3 linked regions of the Drosophila melanogaster genome follow. The protein of the gene in region 3 purifies or fractionates together with the protein of the main gene of each other region. This does not show direct contact. Each region holds a gene or a part of one and is shown on either strand. Other genes may lie near its edges.

Region 1 (6,437 bases), on a different chromosome or scaffold from region 3:
CTAGATTCGCAGTAGTTTTAATTCATTTATGGTTCCCATGTAAATGAACTGATCTCATATTAACAAATTCAATATTAAGTTGAGTTAAATTAATTTCCGTTTATGGGCTATGTTATCAGTATTACACGTGTTTTATCATCATATTTATTTATCTGTTATTATGGTGACTGACATATCACTGCATGACACATTTTCCCTCTATTTGAGTTTTTAGCTCATTTACTTGCGTTTCTATTTGATTTTTCAGTTCTGTAAAAGAAATTGAGTATGGAAACAGCAATAAATAAGCATATTTTGTAGAGTAGACTACAAATGTTTGACATGTTAACTGGTATGTATATGTATTCATGGATGCTCATGTTAAGTAATTGGTCTACTGTAGCTGTAACTGTTATGTAAGGAGCATTTAAGCTTCGGAAAAGGGTATCGTTCGAATACGAATAATTAAAATGGTAACGAAAAAGCAATTACACGTAGAAAAGTCTTGATCAGTAGAGTTCGTTGGCATTAAGTATGTCACAGTATAAGAGTTTAGTTTTAGTTATATAGATGTTTAATAGATTGATAGAGAAATAAAGATAGGGTTATAGAATTCGGTGCGAAGAAATACACATACATATGCAGTATATGGGCATTATATATATTTTACATACGTATTATGCAGTATGTTAAGTACATATAGCACACATATTGAAGAGAAAGAGTAGACAACAGGGAAAACGTTTTGTAATTGTTTATCGTCCATTTATCGTATATATATTTTTTATTTGTTTTGGTTCAGTTACATTTATATAGTTATGAGTGTTCAGTTTTAAAATGCGGTTTAGCACACAAGCACAAGTTTTCTGTTAGTGATTATATTAATATGTAGAAAATAGGCGTTATTAGTACTGTAAAGTGCATAGAGAGTGATAATGATGTTCAAACAATATACGAAAAGAAAAACGTTGATATGTACTTGTTCCCCTAATGTGGTCTAATCTAAATCTTGTATTCGGTTTGAATTATGTGCTACTTTCATTGCTTATTTTTTCCAGTAGAGTTATTTTTATGCTGGATATATTAAAGATACATTTACAAAGAATAAGCGGCAGTGAAAAAAGAGCTAGAGCAGTCGAAAGTTGTAATTGTTGGTGATGTTGGGGGCTGAAGAATAGTTTTGGAATACAAATGTATTACAACAGTATTACCACACATAAGGAAAACAAACGTTTTTACCAATAATCGCACTTACCTTTTTCTAATTGATTGAATAACAAAACCTAAGCAGAATTCATCCGCCTGTTTACCCACAATTTATATTAAACAACAAATGCAATTACAGTTCAAGAAAAACATAAAAATTATTCATCCACTGTATGTTCAAATGCTGCCTAGATTTCTCGTGGTCATTCTCACGTACAAATGATTAAGCGTTACGAAACATAAGTTTGAAACCTGAATAAAATGAAGTATGTGAAATGGTGTGCACTCTTGTTATATAAAAATATAATTGACAATGTTTATATTCGTCGTTGCATCAAGATTGAAGATTAGATCTTAGACAGATAGGGTTGCAGTTAGGGTTAGTATTAGAGTTAGGTTTGTAGCTTAGATGTTTTACGCACATGGAAAAGAGTACATAAATATACATATATATAGAGAGATAGATAGTTCGGTTAGTGGGCAGTTATTTATAGACTTTTATTGGGTTGTTCGATTGCATTAAGATACGAGAGACACACAGATGCACAAACAAAACCACAATTACTACTTTCGAGCGCCGTGGGATATTTAGCGGATATTAAACGGTTTTTGTTGTGGTTTCAGTTTTTAAGTCAATTTGTATAGGTATTGTCTGGACCTGGCGGGACTCGCGTAAACCGCTGGCAAAGTAGTAAGAAACAAAAAATTTCGACAACTCAAAATCTGATACAGTTATAGAATAGGAGCAGGAGCAATCGGAGCGGAGAAATTAGTGGGTTGCAATTGCAGTATATAGATGCCACTAGCTGAGCCAGGTTCAACGGCACTTGACAGTGGCAGCAAAGACTTACTTGTAAAATCGTCGAGCTCTTCCTGCTCCGCTTCGGCGGCGAGTTCCTCGGGCGTCTTCTTTTTCCGCATCAGGGGATTGGGCTCTTCTTGGGGGGCCGCCTCCACGATCTCCTCCTTCTTCTTGATGTTGTACTGAATGGTTAATGTGGAGTCGATAGATCAATAGGTTGATTAGACCACTGGGCTTGGCTAGGAGTCTGGTATCTTAACAGCTAACACATTTTTAAGTGCTCCTCTGTTGTGTCGCTCCTTTGCAGCTCAATCTGACTCCGTTAGGGAGTCGCTCATTAAAGGACTCCCTACTAGAGTCAATTTGAGCTCCACCAGGACTGGTTCCGCCATGTCAGGGCATGGATTGCATACATGGATTTTTCACTGTGATTGCGAAGTTCCCAAAAACCCCGGACACTTACCTTATCGCGAATGTCTTGCCTCATCTTCTCGCGCTCCTCCTCCATTTTCCGGTGCTTTTCCTTTCGGCGGTCCTCGGCCTCCTTGATGGCCTCCTGACGCTCCCTCTCCTCCTCCTCTGCCTTTTCCTTGTCGTCGCCATCATCGCCTCCATCACCTCCTACAGCGCCTGTGTAAGTGACGAGGTATAAGATGTTTAGTATGAGATTTAACTTTGCGCTTAAAAGTTTTTGTAGAAATTGAGACAACTGGACTAAGTTTGTTTTTAATTTACTCAAAATCGGCCGTGACCAATTTTAGATTGAATCCAAACCCCGACATCTTGACACATATGATTAACGTACGCCTTTCAGCTTGGCTCGTTATCGCCTAGCGTGTTATCATTCCGAGTGATTTACATTTTTATTCCAGCACCACTGTCTCTGACAGGGAAAACAAATGGGAAACCGATTAGTTGGGATCTAGTGTGTCTAAGCCGCAGTCTGGAAGCAGAAGCACGGAAGTGGGCCGAGGTATTAAGAGCGACCTTTTGCTGTTCCGACCTCTAAGAAGAAAACAAGGCCCACTACCTCCGGCGCAAACGGCAAATGGCGTCGTGCTCATTTTGATTCGAGCGACTACAGCACCAGCACCCAGGAGAAATGATTTCAAAAGCACTGGCCGTCCTGTGGATAGCTGGCATCGCCTACGGCCAGGACGATCTGCTCAGGGTGGAAACCGAATTGTTGAGCTTCTCTCACAACCTAGAGCCGTATCTCGACACCAGCAAGCAGCCCTGCCAGGACTTCTACGGTTATGTCTGCTCGCACAGCGCCAACCTCAGCGAGACTGGCAGGCAGCGATTCCAAAGCTTGCTTAAGGAAACGGACGTGGCGCAGCTGATGGACATGGAACTCCAACTGATAAACTTCTTCAAGTCTTGCGAGAGCGGGCGTGGCGTAGAGGCGCTCAAGGGATCTCAATTGTATAGGCAGAGTGGGGGCTGGCCTAGCTTGGAACCGAACAAAGTCAATGCCAGTCAGCGGACTAACCAAACCCAAAGATGGCTGGGACTTCTTGGGTACTTCCACGAAGTGGGCGCGCCCTATTTCTTCGAGACGTCGGTCACCATGCAGTCCAACAAGCGACTTGTGGTACTGCAACCCGACGGCACGCGCCGAAACACTCTAAGAAAATTCGAGCAGCGGGTGGGCGAAGTCCTGCAAAGCTTCGGGATAGAACAGAGCCGCGCCCACGTGACCGCCCTCGAAGTGCTCAGCTTGGAGCGCAGTAGACGGGACATTGTAAAGGCGGATCACGTCGAGGATCAAGTGCAGTTTTCCTATGGAAACTTTAAGCGCATCGTCTTCGGAAACGCCTCGCTGATCAGACTGGACTGGGATGGCTACTTCCGCAAGTTGCTAGGCGGCAAAACGCCACAGGCCAGCGACACCATTGTAGTCAAACAACTGCCCAGACTGGTTGAGTACTTCGCGCTGCTCCAAAACACAAGCATGGTTCGACTTCTTAATTGGATATGGACGGACTACTTGATGGGTGAGTTTTTCCAGAATTTTCAAAATGACTACTATTCTATTCGTATTCAAATATACAGTCATTTTCCACTGTTGTTTGCTAACCCAAAAGTTTTCTAAAATATGTTAACAAAGAAAGGTCATGTTTATTCAATCGATAATTCAGAGATTCCTGATAAGCATCCTATAGAACTTAATTTTTTTTCAACTCATTCCGTTGAAATATTTTCGTAACGAATATTTGAGAGCATCTTTTAATGCGTTCTTTGACACCACAAAATGCACATTTCAAATGTGTTCAAACTTTTCCTATTAAAGCTATTTAGCTTAGCTTTAAAATAGGACTGAACTATTGAGGTTGAAAGTCATAAAAAACTCAATATTTAATTTGTTCATCCCTTTATTAGACATCGTAGATGCAGACTGCCACCAATTATCGGAAACCTACGCCGGGGACCTTTACGCCCACGTAGTGCAACGTGTTACGGCAAATCGAGTCGAACTGGCCCAAATGTACTCGGAGCTGGGAAAGGCCTACACAGACCAGCTAGGCGGCAGTGTGTGGATCGATGAGATCTCTAGGCAGAGCTCGAGACAGTTTTTGGGTAACATAATGCACACTACGCTGAATGGAGATGAGCGATTGGACGCGGCATACCACTCGATTTTGTTGGGTCGGCGGAGCCTCTACCGCAACCTGGAGAAGCTGCGCAAGTTTCAGCGCACGCGACGTTTGGCCTCCCATTCCGCCCAGCAGGTGCGTCGCTACGCCCAAATGTTCGCTCCAGTAAATGCGTTCCTAGGGCAGCACAATCTGAGCACGCCGCTCAACTACCTCCTACTGGGGGAGTTCTTTTCGCGAAGCCTTGTAGCCGCAGGTAGCAGCTCTCGTACGCAAGGAGCCTGGCGGAGCTCGGACTCCGAGAGGCGCTTTGCCATCTTCCAACAGTGCGTAGGTAAGCAGACGAACGCCATCGATCTGCTTCTGAGCCTGCTCGCCCAAAGGCAAGCGCTTAGTGCTTACGGTCAGTGGCTTGCCACCCAGGCGGGGCTAGTGGAGAGAGTCGACGCGGTTCTGGCCGCCGGTAGCTCGAAGATGTCCCTACAGAGGCTCTTTTTCGTTACCAGCCTGCTCGTCGACTGCCGCTCCGAGCTGGGCGCCCTGCAGCAGGACCGTAAGCGGCAGGTGACTCACGCCACACTGCGCAACTCGCCGGAGTTCCTGGAGGCCTTTAGGTGCCGTCCTGGAGATGTCCTCTACCCGCAGGACCAGCGCTGCAATCCTCTTTAGGGTCGGACCTTGAACTTTTAGCTGCTGTTGCCACCGGTGGTGTTAAAAATCAATAGGACGTGCCTACAACAACTGGAGGGCTTCTAAGGCAGCGACCAACCCCCAATTGATTGATTTTTCCCGTCACAATTTGCACAGTTTCATGGATCACCATATGCTTACGGAAACGTTACGTTACGTGAAAAATAAATGTTGTTCGCTTGGAAAGACTTACATGGAACAGAAGTTCGGTAAGAGTGACAGCGTTAGTGTGTTGTGGCGAGTTGAGTAGTAGTTTAGTAGGTTGGTTGAGTGGTGGCAGTGTGTTGTAGAAGGGGAAGAAGACGAATTCAGTGTGTCCGCCGCCGGAAATCGAACCGAAAGGCAGTGTTGGAAGGCAGACTGGACTTAGACTCGGTTTATGCTTCATACCAATGAAATTCATGATTTCAGGGCGCTCTGGACCGATGCTATCTGTCCGTCGTGGGGCCTTCTATCTTCGTTTCCGTCCCAAGTGGATGCAACCGTTGCCTAAGCCGACTCTGGCACTACTGGACTCGCTGTCAGTCAGGAGCTGCACCATCTCCGACCCACTGGCTCGGTCGCAGTGCCGACGTGGTCATCTTAATCGATTCGAAGCAGTTGCCCGAAGTGCAGTGCAAACGCGACCACCAGTTTCCGCGAACTGAGTGCAGAAAGAGGTCTTGACAGGCGGACAGGCGCACAAAACAGCGAACTTTAGCTACAGGAGTGCGAACCCGGAGTGGGAGTTCTGCTAGTCCTGCTCCGGCCTTTTATGTCATGGCGTGGCACGGGTTGCCTCTGCCGCGTCGCAGTCGAGGCAACCCAGCGCCTGCGCAGGTTCCAGCGGATTGAGTCCGGCTCGGATTCTGGCGGTACGCTGGTGCTGGCTGATTTGCTAGTAAGAGCAGCCTGGCATTTTCTCTGCCTGTTCTGATAACGAACCCTGTGGGGCGACAGAGACGCATTATCTCTGAGGGCGCAGAATCCGGCTTTCGACGCTCACTGCTCCTGAGCACATCTCGGGCCCATAGGGCGTATGGGTAATGTCGTCGGGGGATGACGAATGACCACAATCGGCTTTGCTCTCTGCGCGTCTATCTCTGTCTTGGTGGGTGCAAAAGGCATCGCACATTAAATTGAATTTATAGTCATCAATTTACTGAATAGCTTTGTGAATAAAC
Region 2 (5,404 bases), on a different chromosome or scaffold from region 3:
ATGTCCTTGATGGGCGTCGGGGTCAGCTTCTGGGCGGGAGCGGGCACAGCAGTAGCTGCGGCCACGGCCAAGGCCAGGAATACGAACAGTTTCATCTTGGTCAAGTCTTGCAACTCAATGGTGTTCCGATGTCGAAGCGCCTTTATATACAGAAGTGGTCCGTAGTCTTATCTCGACCAAGAGCCCTTCCTTCCACACGTATGTAAAATGGGAGGGCAGTAAATTTTAATCAAGTTATCATCGCGAGCCATCGTCGACTGATAAGTCCACTACAGGTGATTTTTTTTTTTTGTAAATTATGGCCTAAATTTGAAGTGGAATGACATGTGCCTTATTTGCAACTTACTCTTCAGTATGATAGTATCATGTAAGGACATTCACTTCACCTAAAATATATTATATACTCAGATTACCCAAATGAGGAGTAAAGTATTTTATGATCTTTAAGAAATTTAAATTCTGAATAATGTTTATTGAAAGTATTTACTACCAATTTCAAAAAAAAGTGTGATAAAATATTACTCATACGGCACATTGTACAGTTTTTGTTCTCAACAAGTTGATTTTTAGATTATCAAAAAATAAAACACTAATAGGTTAATATTACATAGGTAATGTATTAAATGGTATGTATTATGTAATATGTAATGTATTGATTATGTATTATTGGTAATTTTATCTCTAAACATGAATATGCCACTATCTTCCAAGAAATTAATAATACACAAAATATAACAGCATATGTTCTTCATTTATTTAAAACTTGTTTAAGCACCTTTTTGCTTTGAAATTAGTAAAGTTTTTTTTTAATAATAGATTCCAGTCTCCTCCTTTATCCATTCCAGGTACTTGGTGACCCTAGTGAAGCCAGCCGGTCCTCCAACCTGGCATCCGTAAGCGGAGACGAAGGAAGTGATTCCGATAAGCTTATCACCCTCCTTTGTGACCAGAGGACCACCAGAATCACCCTGGCAGGTGGCCTTTCCGTCCGGAGTTTCCACACAGATGGTGTTCTCGGAGGCGGTATCAGTTCCGTAGTAAGCCTGGCACTCCGCCACGGAGATCACTTTCAGATCCACCACTCGCAGATCCTCCACCACATTGCTGCCATCGTAAATGGCACCCCATCCGGCGGCCTGAACCCAATTGTTTTCGTAAGAGTTGTATCGGTCATCCAGGCTGGGAAGCTCTATTTTGTTGACCAGGCTGTAGAAGTCCACATGGGGAGTCTTGATCAGGGCCAAATCATGATCGAGTCCAACGTAGTGGGGATATCTGATGAAGTTCTCGCTGCTCACTGTGTGGCGGAAGGCAGGTTCGTTGTAGTTGACGGCACCATAGTACAGTGAAGCCTCATCAGCACTGCAATACGATGATTTATCAAAGAGCGTTAATTATTTGTGAAATCAAATAACTCACCCAGCGGTACAGTGGGCAGCAGTGAGCACCCAAGTGTGTCCGATTATGGATCCGCCGCACCACCACCAGTTTCCGTTGCTGTTCAAGCTCACACCCACGATGTAGGGAACCTGACCCTCGGACGCCAGGTTTCCGTTGGTAATACGACCCTCAATCCCTCCATGACGAATCTCCAGATCGCGTGGATGGACCAGCGAATGGGGCACAGTTAGGGCACTACAGACCCCAAGGAAGGCGAGCGACAAGAGTGTAAGACCCCTCATATTGAAAGACTAAAAGGCTCCCATGGTGGTCCCAATACTATATAGCTTAGCCATAATCACTATCGATGCTAATTCAAAGTGCGAAATCTTATCTCGCAGCACTTTTATCAACGAAAAAGTTTGATTTATACTAGCAGATACTCAAGACGAGTGTTTGGCAGTATGAATGAAGTGTTAGCAAAGGGAATAAGAGTGTTTTGAGTGCTTCAATCAATTCTGAGTGGATACAAGTTCAAGCAATTTAATTCATTTAATTTTATTAAATCATAAAGAATTATTAACCATGGTTAATAGTAAATGCCAGTCTGCTCCCTGATCCAAAAAGGGCTGCCAATATGGGTACGCAAGCCTTCATTTTGTATACTAAAATCTCCTGTTGGTCTCACACTTTTATATAGACCAATGAAGTCACTATCGATGCACATATAGAAGTGTACAAGCTTATCGTGCAATAAATTATTTTAATTTATGCCACCCAATGGATTAACTTAGTAATAGAGTGCGTTATGGGATTATGTACTTCAAGTTCAGAAAAGCAAAAGTTTATAATCGTACCTCAAAATATATATTCAAATTGTATGCAATGGTTGAGTTTATGCATAAATTCCCAGTAATATATGTCACAGCACAACAAGTGAAAATGTGCAAGCAAGGTGTCATGGGGGGGACTTCAAAGAACCCCAAGGAACAGAAATGGCAATCGAGGGTCATGTGATATCCTTGAAGTATTGCAGGGAATAGTGAAGCAGAAAAGAAAATACGATTATGGCAATCAAAAGGGAGGTCCACTTTCGGAACTACGGAGCAGCAGTATCACTCAAAGTGAGGCGATGGCTTGAAATCCGATATAGTTTCTGAGGAACGCCTCGGGCGGAGTGGGCGAAATGGCGGACCCATTCCTCATTAGGAAGCTACTGGGAATGCCTTTGTTTGCATTCTCCGAGCTTCCCCTTGACCGTCCTTCCGCCGACGTAGTGCCACGCTGAAATGTGCAACATATCGGGGCAGGAAACTCACCACACGGAACGGAAAACGGAGAACGGAGAGCTATTAAAGCCGACCCCCAACGAAGCGTGAGTCAGTTCCCGACTGGGCGTCCGGGCATTCAGACCGCTCGCAAGGATAACGCGCAAGGATCCGAGCGAACGCGACGAGTAAATAAAGCATAAATAATACAATTAAAAGTTGAGCGCGCTCCCTTCGCAAAGGACATTCCCACACTTGTAGCCCACTTCCTTCGGGCAGTGCAACACAAAAGTGCAGTCATTAATTAATTTAATGCATATGTACCCCATCCTGGCAGCACAAGAGTCGAGCCAAGCCGACGATATCCTATAAAGCGAGTGAGTGAAAAGTGTTCGACGAAGCGTTTAAAGGACCGCGCTGTTTGCCGTGTGCGATGCCCATAACAACGGGCTTCGCGATTGCCTTTTAAGGTGGGGCGATTAAGTCACGCTCCTCCGTATCAGCGGCATCGCCAGAACAGGAACTCGGGGCATTGACACTGCGGTTTTAGTGCTCAAACTAAAAATGTGAAAGGAGAACATTAAATCCTGACATGACATACCAAGAGGTGTTATATCATTCCAAGTTCCGCGCTCTTAAATCCTTGAACATATCGAAGTAATTAAGAAACTTACAGCTGTAACTCACAGATACAGTTTCTAATGTTTAATTACAAATTCCATGCTTTAGGCACTAGATACCACCGATAGCACCATGTTCCCACCCAGTTCTGAAGGACACATCCGAGTGTCTCGACGTGACTAGGCCAAGCAGGCCCCACAGATTATAATCCCCAAGGGGACCAGGTCATCAGGATGCACCAGGTACTCAGCTACGAGACGGCGGTGCGGGCCAACAGCTCTCGGGAGTTCCGCGAGTACGTTTCCAAGCGCACCTGTGCCTCCCTGGTGCTAACGATTGGCTTCTTCATGCTGATAACAGGTGAGTGCATTCACAGGACAGCGCCTAATGAGTCACTCTTGTGTGTCGTGGTTTCGCAGGATACTTGCTCGGTAATTTTGTGGCCGAGCGCAAGTACCACATTCGCCAGATGACGAAAGACGGCGGCAGGTCCGTGAAACTGAGCAGCGCCGAGTATGCCAGCCTGCAGGAGCTGCAATCATATCAGAAGGCCAAGGATCAGCTGTTGCTGGCCGCCCAGGAGCTGGACAAGCTGCAGCAGCAGGACGAGAGCGAGCGGTATCTGGCCACGTCGCTGAACACGGAGATCTTCAACAGGTACATATCCTGCACGCAGGATATACCGCCCAACACGAACATTGCGGCCAGTCAGTTCACGGAACAGCTGATCGACAACACGGTGGCCAGGCAGCGCCACTGCTTGATGATCATCCAGCGGGTCATCGACAACCACCTGGCCAACAGCCAGCTCTAGAGCTCTAGGGCGGATGCCAGCGATGGTTTAGCGGGCCAATGTTCGACATTTGACATTTATGTGTGTATGTGCTTTTAGGTGTGCTCAATGTGTGTGCTCCCAGCTAATTAGAAATTAGGTTTTGTAATTCATTGTGAAAGTATTAGATCACACAAGTTTTTTATACATGTCTGCATTAAAAGTTAAACTTTAAATAGATGCTAACTATTTTGGTAATTGGCTAATGTTTAGTTCGATGAGTTATGCTGACGATACATTGGGTTCACGCCCTTAATGGGCAGGAAATGGCCTGCACTGTTGAAGACCCACTGCTCCAGCGAAACCACGTCGTCGTCGGAGAAGAGCAGATACAAATACTTCAGAGTGGAGCCCAAGAAGAAGGACCCCTGCACGTCATCCGGTTCCGAAGTAACGTTGTTAACGTCCATCACTCCAGTATATCCGTAGGGCATTCGGCAGTACTTCTCTATCGCCTGCACCATCTCCAATCCCCACAAGCGGTACTGTGGATGATGGGTTATGCGCCACAGAACCAAGTAAGTTTCCGCGACTTCCGGCCGTAAATTGTAATAGTTCCTCTGGAGCGGCTCTATTTCCTGCTGGCTTTCCTCCGTGAAGGCAAACGTATCCGGACCCAACCGAGTGGGAGAACTCCAGTAGCTGTCGTGACAAGTATCTGTGAGGCCTATGCCAATATGGGCATACTTTTCCCAGTGCTTCATTTGGGTTTCTGCTGCTCCCAGGACAAAAAGCCCGCCGGCAAAGCAATCGGAGTGCCTCATACGATGGAAAAGAGTGCCATTCCTGAACGTGGACACGTAGGTCACGTCCTCGGGATTGATGACAACCAGATTTTGAGCCACAGCTAGCATGGCTTCTTTGAAGGTATCAGCATTTTGAGTATCAGTTCTCCCGGACTGAATCCATGACTTTAGCAGGGTATCATAAAGTCGGTGCATGGAGCAGTTGTAATTTTCCCACTTACCAAATTTTGTGCAATAGGCATTGGGATAAAGGCCATTGGGCCTGGTTGTTTTAGCTAATATCTCGCGGATAGCATCCACTCGCTCCCTGTACACCGGATATCCAGAGACTTCACTGAGATAGTAGAACTCCAGGTGCAGAGAGCCAAATTCAGAAGTGCGAGAGATATCACTTAGGTACTTCGTGAGGGTGCTGCCTTCTTTTGGGACCACTAGTCGTCTGGGTATACCAGTTGGCGTGTCGAAGGCAGGCAGGATCTTATCGGCAATATGGATGGCCTTGTCCATGTAGAGGGAATCCCCGGTGAGGGAATATAGAGTGAGCATGGGACACAGCA
Region 3 (5,448 bases):
GACGTGGAGAAACTTCAGGCACGTCAGCTATCGATAAATTAAAATGTGTATTCGATTAGCGTACGTTAAACAGCTGTTTATTCTGGCGCTCTTTCATACGTTCGCTGAAATAGTTTTGTATTTCTGGCCGGAAATGATGTCCCAAATTCCGGATTTGGCCGGCGGAAATGGGCAACAGAAGCGAAAGATTCTGAGCGGCGGCGAATACAATAAGATTTGCCGGTTTATCAACGGCTTCCACGGCTTGGCCATCGACTGCGAGTTCGAGTTGAGGAATCGCTTCTTCAGGGACGTGGAGCCAATGGCATTGACATGCATCCTGCAGTCGGAGCTTTTTAACCGGTCGCGTGGTCACTGGAAGCAGGATCAGCGCGGGAAAAGGCTTCTCAAAGCGTAAGGCCACAATCTCGTGTTCTTTCCTGACACCATGACCAATAATAATCCAAATTGCTTGGATTCAGCTACGAGGAGCAGAAAAACCTATACTACGACAATGCCCTACTGATCCGAATGGCTTGTGCCGAAGCACTGAACCCGGTGGCTCTCTGCAGGATGTTGCTGCAGGAGAAGTACAAGGATCGGCATCGATCGCACATCTCACAGCTTCTTAGGCATCCGCATCTTATCGACGATCCCAAGCTGGCGGCCAATGTGCAGCAGTGCATAGTCAGCGACAATCAAGAGGGATCCATAACGGACCTGCGACGCCGCATAGTTGGCGAGGAGTACGAGCTTAAGCTTAAGAATCTGGCTAAGGAGGCGGGTATCCATTTCTACGACGAGAAAGATTTGCGACGCATGGGATATGACAAGACGCCGGACATCAAGATGATCCTGCCATTTCTTTACAAAGGCTCTGTGATCAACTGGATCGAGAGCAAGGCCAATTTTGGGGACACCAAGGGACACAAGTCGAACATCCAACAGCAGCTGCAAAGCTACTGCAATCGGTAATATGAAAGAATTCATTCTATAACTATTCTAATTACATATATATATATATATATATTGTCAGTTTTGGTCCTGGAATGATAATCTATTGGTTTGGGTACCACGAGGAAACGCCTGCGCTGCCGGATAACAACATTGGCATTACAGTACTCGCTGATTTTCCGGCAAAAGAAGATTTGGTTTTTATGCAACTCGCGCATGAAGAATACTCCGCTGAGACTCCGACAACGAAAGAGGACAGCAGTTCCGGGAGTCAACCTATTGTAGCTGAATGTCCAACCAAAGAACTGAAAAAACTTTCATGAAACTGAAAGTGCAGGGAAATCGTTAATGTATACTTTTTAACTATAGAACGAAATGTGCTTGTTAAAACAATGTACATAGAAAGCCTAAATTTTAAGTGGGATGTTGCCAAATGTTAAGTAGCATTGAAACCATCAAAGACAGGAATGCTTTGCATTTATACACTAACCATAAGATTAGACAATGCTTCTGCAGCAATAACTTTTCTCTTTAGTTTTAACAATTATACTGTTTTTATTGTATTTATAAATTCTCATTTACATGATGTATTCAAAGGTTTTTTAGTAAAAAAATCGTATACAAAACTACGACATTGTCAGCATCGTTGTTCATAATAGACCAAATCAAAGACAAAGCACAAGTAATTATTGTTACTCAAATTGCTAGTTGCCTTTCAGGGAAAATAAAAATCAAAACAAAAGTATTTATTTTACTATGTGTAAATTTTCTTTGTATTGTTGTGGTAGCCATATGTGTTATTTTCAAAGTATAAACCAAAAGTCAGCAGTGTGTATATAAAAAATTCAGCTGGGCCCTTAGCTTTGGAAACTATGTTCTAACTTTACGCGCCCTCCTCTCATCGACTTAAATGTTGATGTTTGTTTTGTCGGGGCTGTTGTAAAGTTATTGTTTCAAAAGTTTCGTACTGGTAGGAAATTCGTCGATTTCGATCAGCTTGATATATTTATATATGCACGCAGCCACATCGGTCATCAGACCTCCTTCAGCTCATCGGGCATGTCATTCTTGGGATGCTTGTTCTCGAAATGCTGCTTGTAAGTCTTCGGATCGGGCATTTGCGACTGAAATGGAGACGAGATTCGATTAGGTTTCAAATAAACCACAAAGTACGAGTAATAAATATAAAATAAGGCATTACTATAACATTCATCTGAATCGAATTCTTTAGTTTAAAGCTCCTGAGATGTCGAATGTTTTGCGATAAATTTTCTTTAGTATTTGCGTTTTAAAACCTCGACGTTAAAGTAAGCGAGTTCTTGCGTGATTCTTCGAGCTGTCTCAAAACCATTTGATTAACCCACTGCAGTTGCTGACTTAGGGAGGTTTCACTGTAGCTGGCTTACCTTGCAAACGGCGCACACATAGACAAGTGCCTTCTGGGCCGCCTTCTTCTGGTCGTTGGCACTGTGTCCTTGTTGCTTCTTTAGTTTGGCCTGCTTCTCGGAGGCCTTCGCCTGCGACTGGATCTTCTGGTGTCCACGTGCCATTTCTTGCTGTTTAAGTGGAAATGGATGAGTTAGCATATGTAGTAGTACCGTCTATGTGCTTCACGGGATTCGCAACAAAGGTGGCGGAAGCGCAGTCACTTTCACTTTCTCCCACACAGCTGAATAGGTGACTCTTGGGATTACCAAACGGAAAGCACAGTTTCCGGTCAGTATACTATAGTTAAGATACCAATTATTTATGTTTTGGAAAATCTGACACGACACTGTACTCGAACAACAACAAAGCACGCCCACAAGTGAAAATGTGGATTGCGACCACGTTCTGCGCCCTTTTTGCGAATCCACCGCTGCTTACCTAATTAACCCGATTAAATTTGGTTGGCTGTACTAAATGCAGGTGTGATGCAGCCTTTGCAGTTACGTAAAATTCGTTGTTACAAACTGTTTTGATTTTTTACCCGAAATTATTAACGATTAACCGTAAATTTGTATCAATTTGTCGGGTTTTGTTTCGCTGCCAGGATTAAATGGGACCAGAGCTGAACTATATCCAAAATGTTTGGGCATAAATATATGTGGGTTCGCGTCTTGGACTAACAGCTATCCTGACTTAAACCACTTAACGGTACTCGTAATAAATTTTCCTATTTCTAATTATTTGTATAATTTTTAAGCATTTCAACATTTTTATTTTTCGTAATAAAATAAAAAAGTATTTGTTATATGTTCGTAATTTAAAAATATTACCTACTCCCCCGAAAAAGTATTATTTTTATCTTAAACTAAAAGCACATCTAAAATAATATTTAAATAAATTATTATATTATAACAAATTATATAATTTTAACATTTTTATTTATAAATTGTCAATTACATAAATTAGTTATAGTACAAAAAGATTTATTTTCTTTCATTTGTGGCATAATTCGTATAAAACTTTCACGTGTAAACAAAAATCCAAAACGGAGCTCAGAGTATTTATGGTGTTTTAGATATCTTCCTGTGGCTTAGGCAATAAATATCAAAATTAAACAATTTCTATTCATTTTTTAAGGTAGGTAGGTGTCTTTGTATTGGTTTAGCCACACATCGAACAATCGCATACTGTGTTAATTTCAATGTATAAAACAAAACCAAAATTCAGCAGTGTGTATACGAAAAAACTGGCATTTGTATATTATTATTACGACTATTATCCATCCTCTTGGCTTCGGCTTGATTGTGGGCTTTCTTCTTAGGGCTGATGCAAATTTATTGTTGCAAATGTTTCGTACTGGTAGGCAACTCGTCCATCTCGTTCAGCTTAAAGTGAAACGATCATCAGACCTCCTTCAGCTCCTCGGGTATGTCGTTCTTGGGATGCTTGTTCTCGAAGTGCTGTTTATACGTCTTGGGATCGGGCATTTGCGACTGAAATGGAGGCGAGATTCGATTAGGTTTTCACCCAAATTGTTATCCACATACATAAAGGAACTAGGGGTGCAAATATAGCAACTTGAAAACAGTGATCGTATATCAATATGTTATCATTTAAAGTAATCAAATATCAGCAGTGCTTGGTCATCACTTAATTTAAGATAACGTTGGACAAACATATTCATTTGATATTGGTAAATATTCATGTTCAATTAAATTAATTTGAATTACTTACGACAACAAGTAAAAGCAGTTAATGTTAATAAAGTAGGAAGTGCATATAAATTGAAATACTTTTTTTTTATACACTCAAAAACATGGGTAAGAGCGGAAACTAGTGTTAAAACAATATCACAAGTAAAAGTGTTTCTGATTATGATAGTTTTAAGGAGCACTACATTTTGTTATTATTTGAGTTGACTAATAACTCCATCATACAGAAGTTAACCTTCTGGATGAAATGCAATAGGCACTTTCAAACTCTAGTTTGTTCGCTTTACAGAGGCTTCACTGTAGCTGGCTCACCTTGCAAACGGCGCACACATAGACAAGTGCCTTTTGGGCCGCCTTCTTCTGGTCGTTGGCACTGTGTCCTTGTTGCTTCTTTAGTTTGGCCTGCTTCTCGGAGGCCTTCGCCTGCGACTGGATCTTCTGGTGTCCACGTGCCATTGCTTGCTGCATGCAAATTCGAATGCAAATAGAAGGGTTAGTACGAGTGGATTGCAAAAAGGTCATTAATCATCTGTGGCCCAAACGGGATTTGCAACAAAGGCGGCAGAAGCGCAGTAGCTTTCACTTTTTATCCCCACCCACTCAAAAAGTAATAGCAGGAATTACCAGTCACCAGAGAGGATTTTGCTGGATCTGTGCACGTCTATCGATAAGATATTAATAATGTTTTAATCAAATCCGTTGCGTTACTGTACTGCAACAACAAATCACCACCACCACTACTGAAAATGTGGATTGCGACCACGTTCTGCGAGCCACCATTGAACTTACCTAATTAAGACGATTAAATTTGTTTGGCTGTCCTAAATGCAGGTGATGCAGCTTCGAATTTGAGCAAAACTCGTTGTAAAGTAAGTAGTGATTTGCTACCCGAAATTATTGACAACTTTTCTTAAAATACTTTTAATTTGATGGGTTTTGTTTTCTGCCAGGATTGAATGGGACCAGAGTTCAAATGTATCCAAAATGTTTGTCCAGAAACATATGTGGGTTTGAGTCTTTGATTGACACTTACCCTGACTCAAACCCCTTAACGGTACTCACGCATAAATCGAAAAAAACTGTCATTTTAACAGTTGGGAGTTTTAAGAATTTAAGATTAAGATTATTCATATGGTTATTGAACGTTTATGATAGTGAAATAGTAAAGTAGATAGTTCAATAAGTTTGTTCCCTAAAAACACACTACCGTTTTAAAATTATTTAAAACTTGTATTATTAAGTAATTTGAAATCATTAATCATTAACAAGTCTTTCAAAAACACAACCATTAAAAAGTCTTAATTTATAATGCTTATACAAAATGTATATTTATTTTGGTAGAAAACTTAACAAGTTACAAATAATTGCAATTACA

What was found.
Region 1: the proteins of CG18081 (region 3) and Nepl11 purify together in Drosophila melanogaster (affinity purification with mass spectrometry, with the first as the bait; one large-scale study listed by BioGRID). This does not show direct contact.
Region 2: the proteins of CG18081 (region 3) and CG15522 purify together in Drosophila melanogaster (affinity purification with mass spectrometry, with the first as the bait; one large-scale study listed by BioGRID). This does not show direct contact.

Annotation. Positions count from the first base shown.
Region 1 is NT_033777.3:4,291,300-4,297,736, reverse strand, and holds Nepl11 (Neprilysin-like 11), read left to right. Parts: upstream 1-2,896; 5' UTR 2,897-3,089; coding exon 3,090-3,984; intron 3,985-4,369; coding exon 4,370-5,253; 3' UTR 5,254-5,463; downstream 5,464-6,437. Other genes in the region: cpx (complexin), read right to left, coding at 1,918-2,169, 2,451-2,617.
Region 2 is NT_033777.3:29,924,493-29,929,896, forward strand, and holds CG15522 (uncharacterized protein), read left to right. Parts: upstream 1-2,762; 5' UTR 2,763-3,025; exon of another isoform or gene 3,026-3,305; intron 3,306-3,377; 5' UTR 3,378-3,502; coding exon 3,503-3,629; intron 3,630-3,688; coding exon 3,689-4,083; 3' UTR 4,084-4,274; downstream 4,275-5,404. Other genes in the region: Jon99Cii (jonah 99Cii), read right to left, coding at 1-95; Jon99Ci (jonah 99Ci), read right to left, coding at 807-1,362, 1,420-1,682; alpha-Man-Ic (alpha-Mannosidase class I c), read right to left, coding at 4,311-5,404.
Region 3 is NT_037436.4:15,832,395-15,837,842, forward strand, and holds CG18081 (uncharacterized protein), read right to left. Parts: upstream 2,883-5,448; 5' UTR 2,800-2,882; intron 2,490-2,799; exon of another isoform or gene 2,486-2,489; 5' UTR 2,484-2,485; coding exon 2,340-2,483; intron 2,058-2,339; coding exon 1,968-2,057; 3' UTR 1,401-1,967; downstream 1-1,400. Other genes in the region: CG12713 (uncharacterized protein), read left to right, coding at 134-393, 462-950, 1,016-1,256; CG15715 (uncharacterized protein), read right to left, coding at 3,765-3,854, 4,386-4,529; meru, read right to left, coding at 5,444-5,448.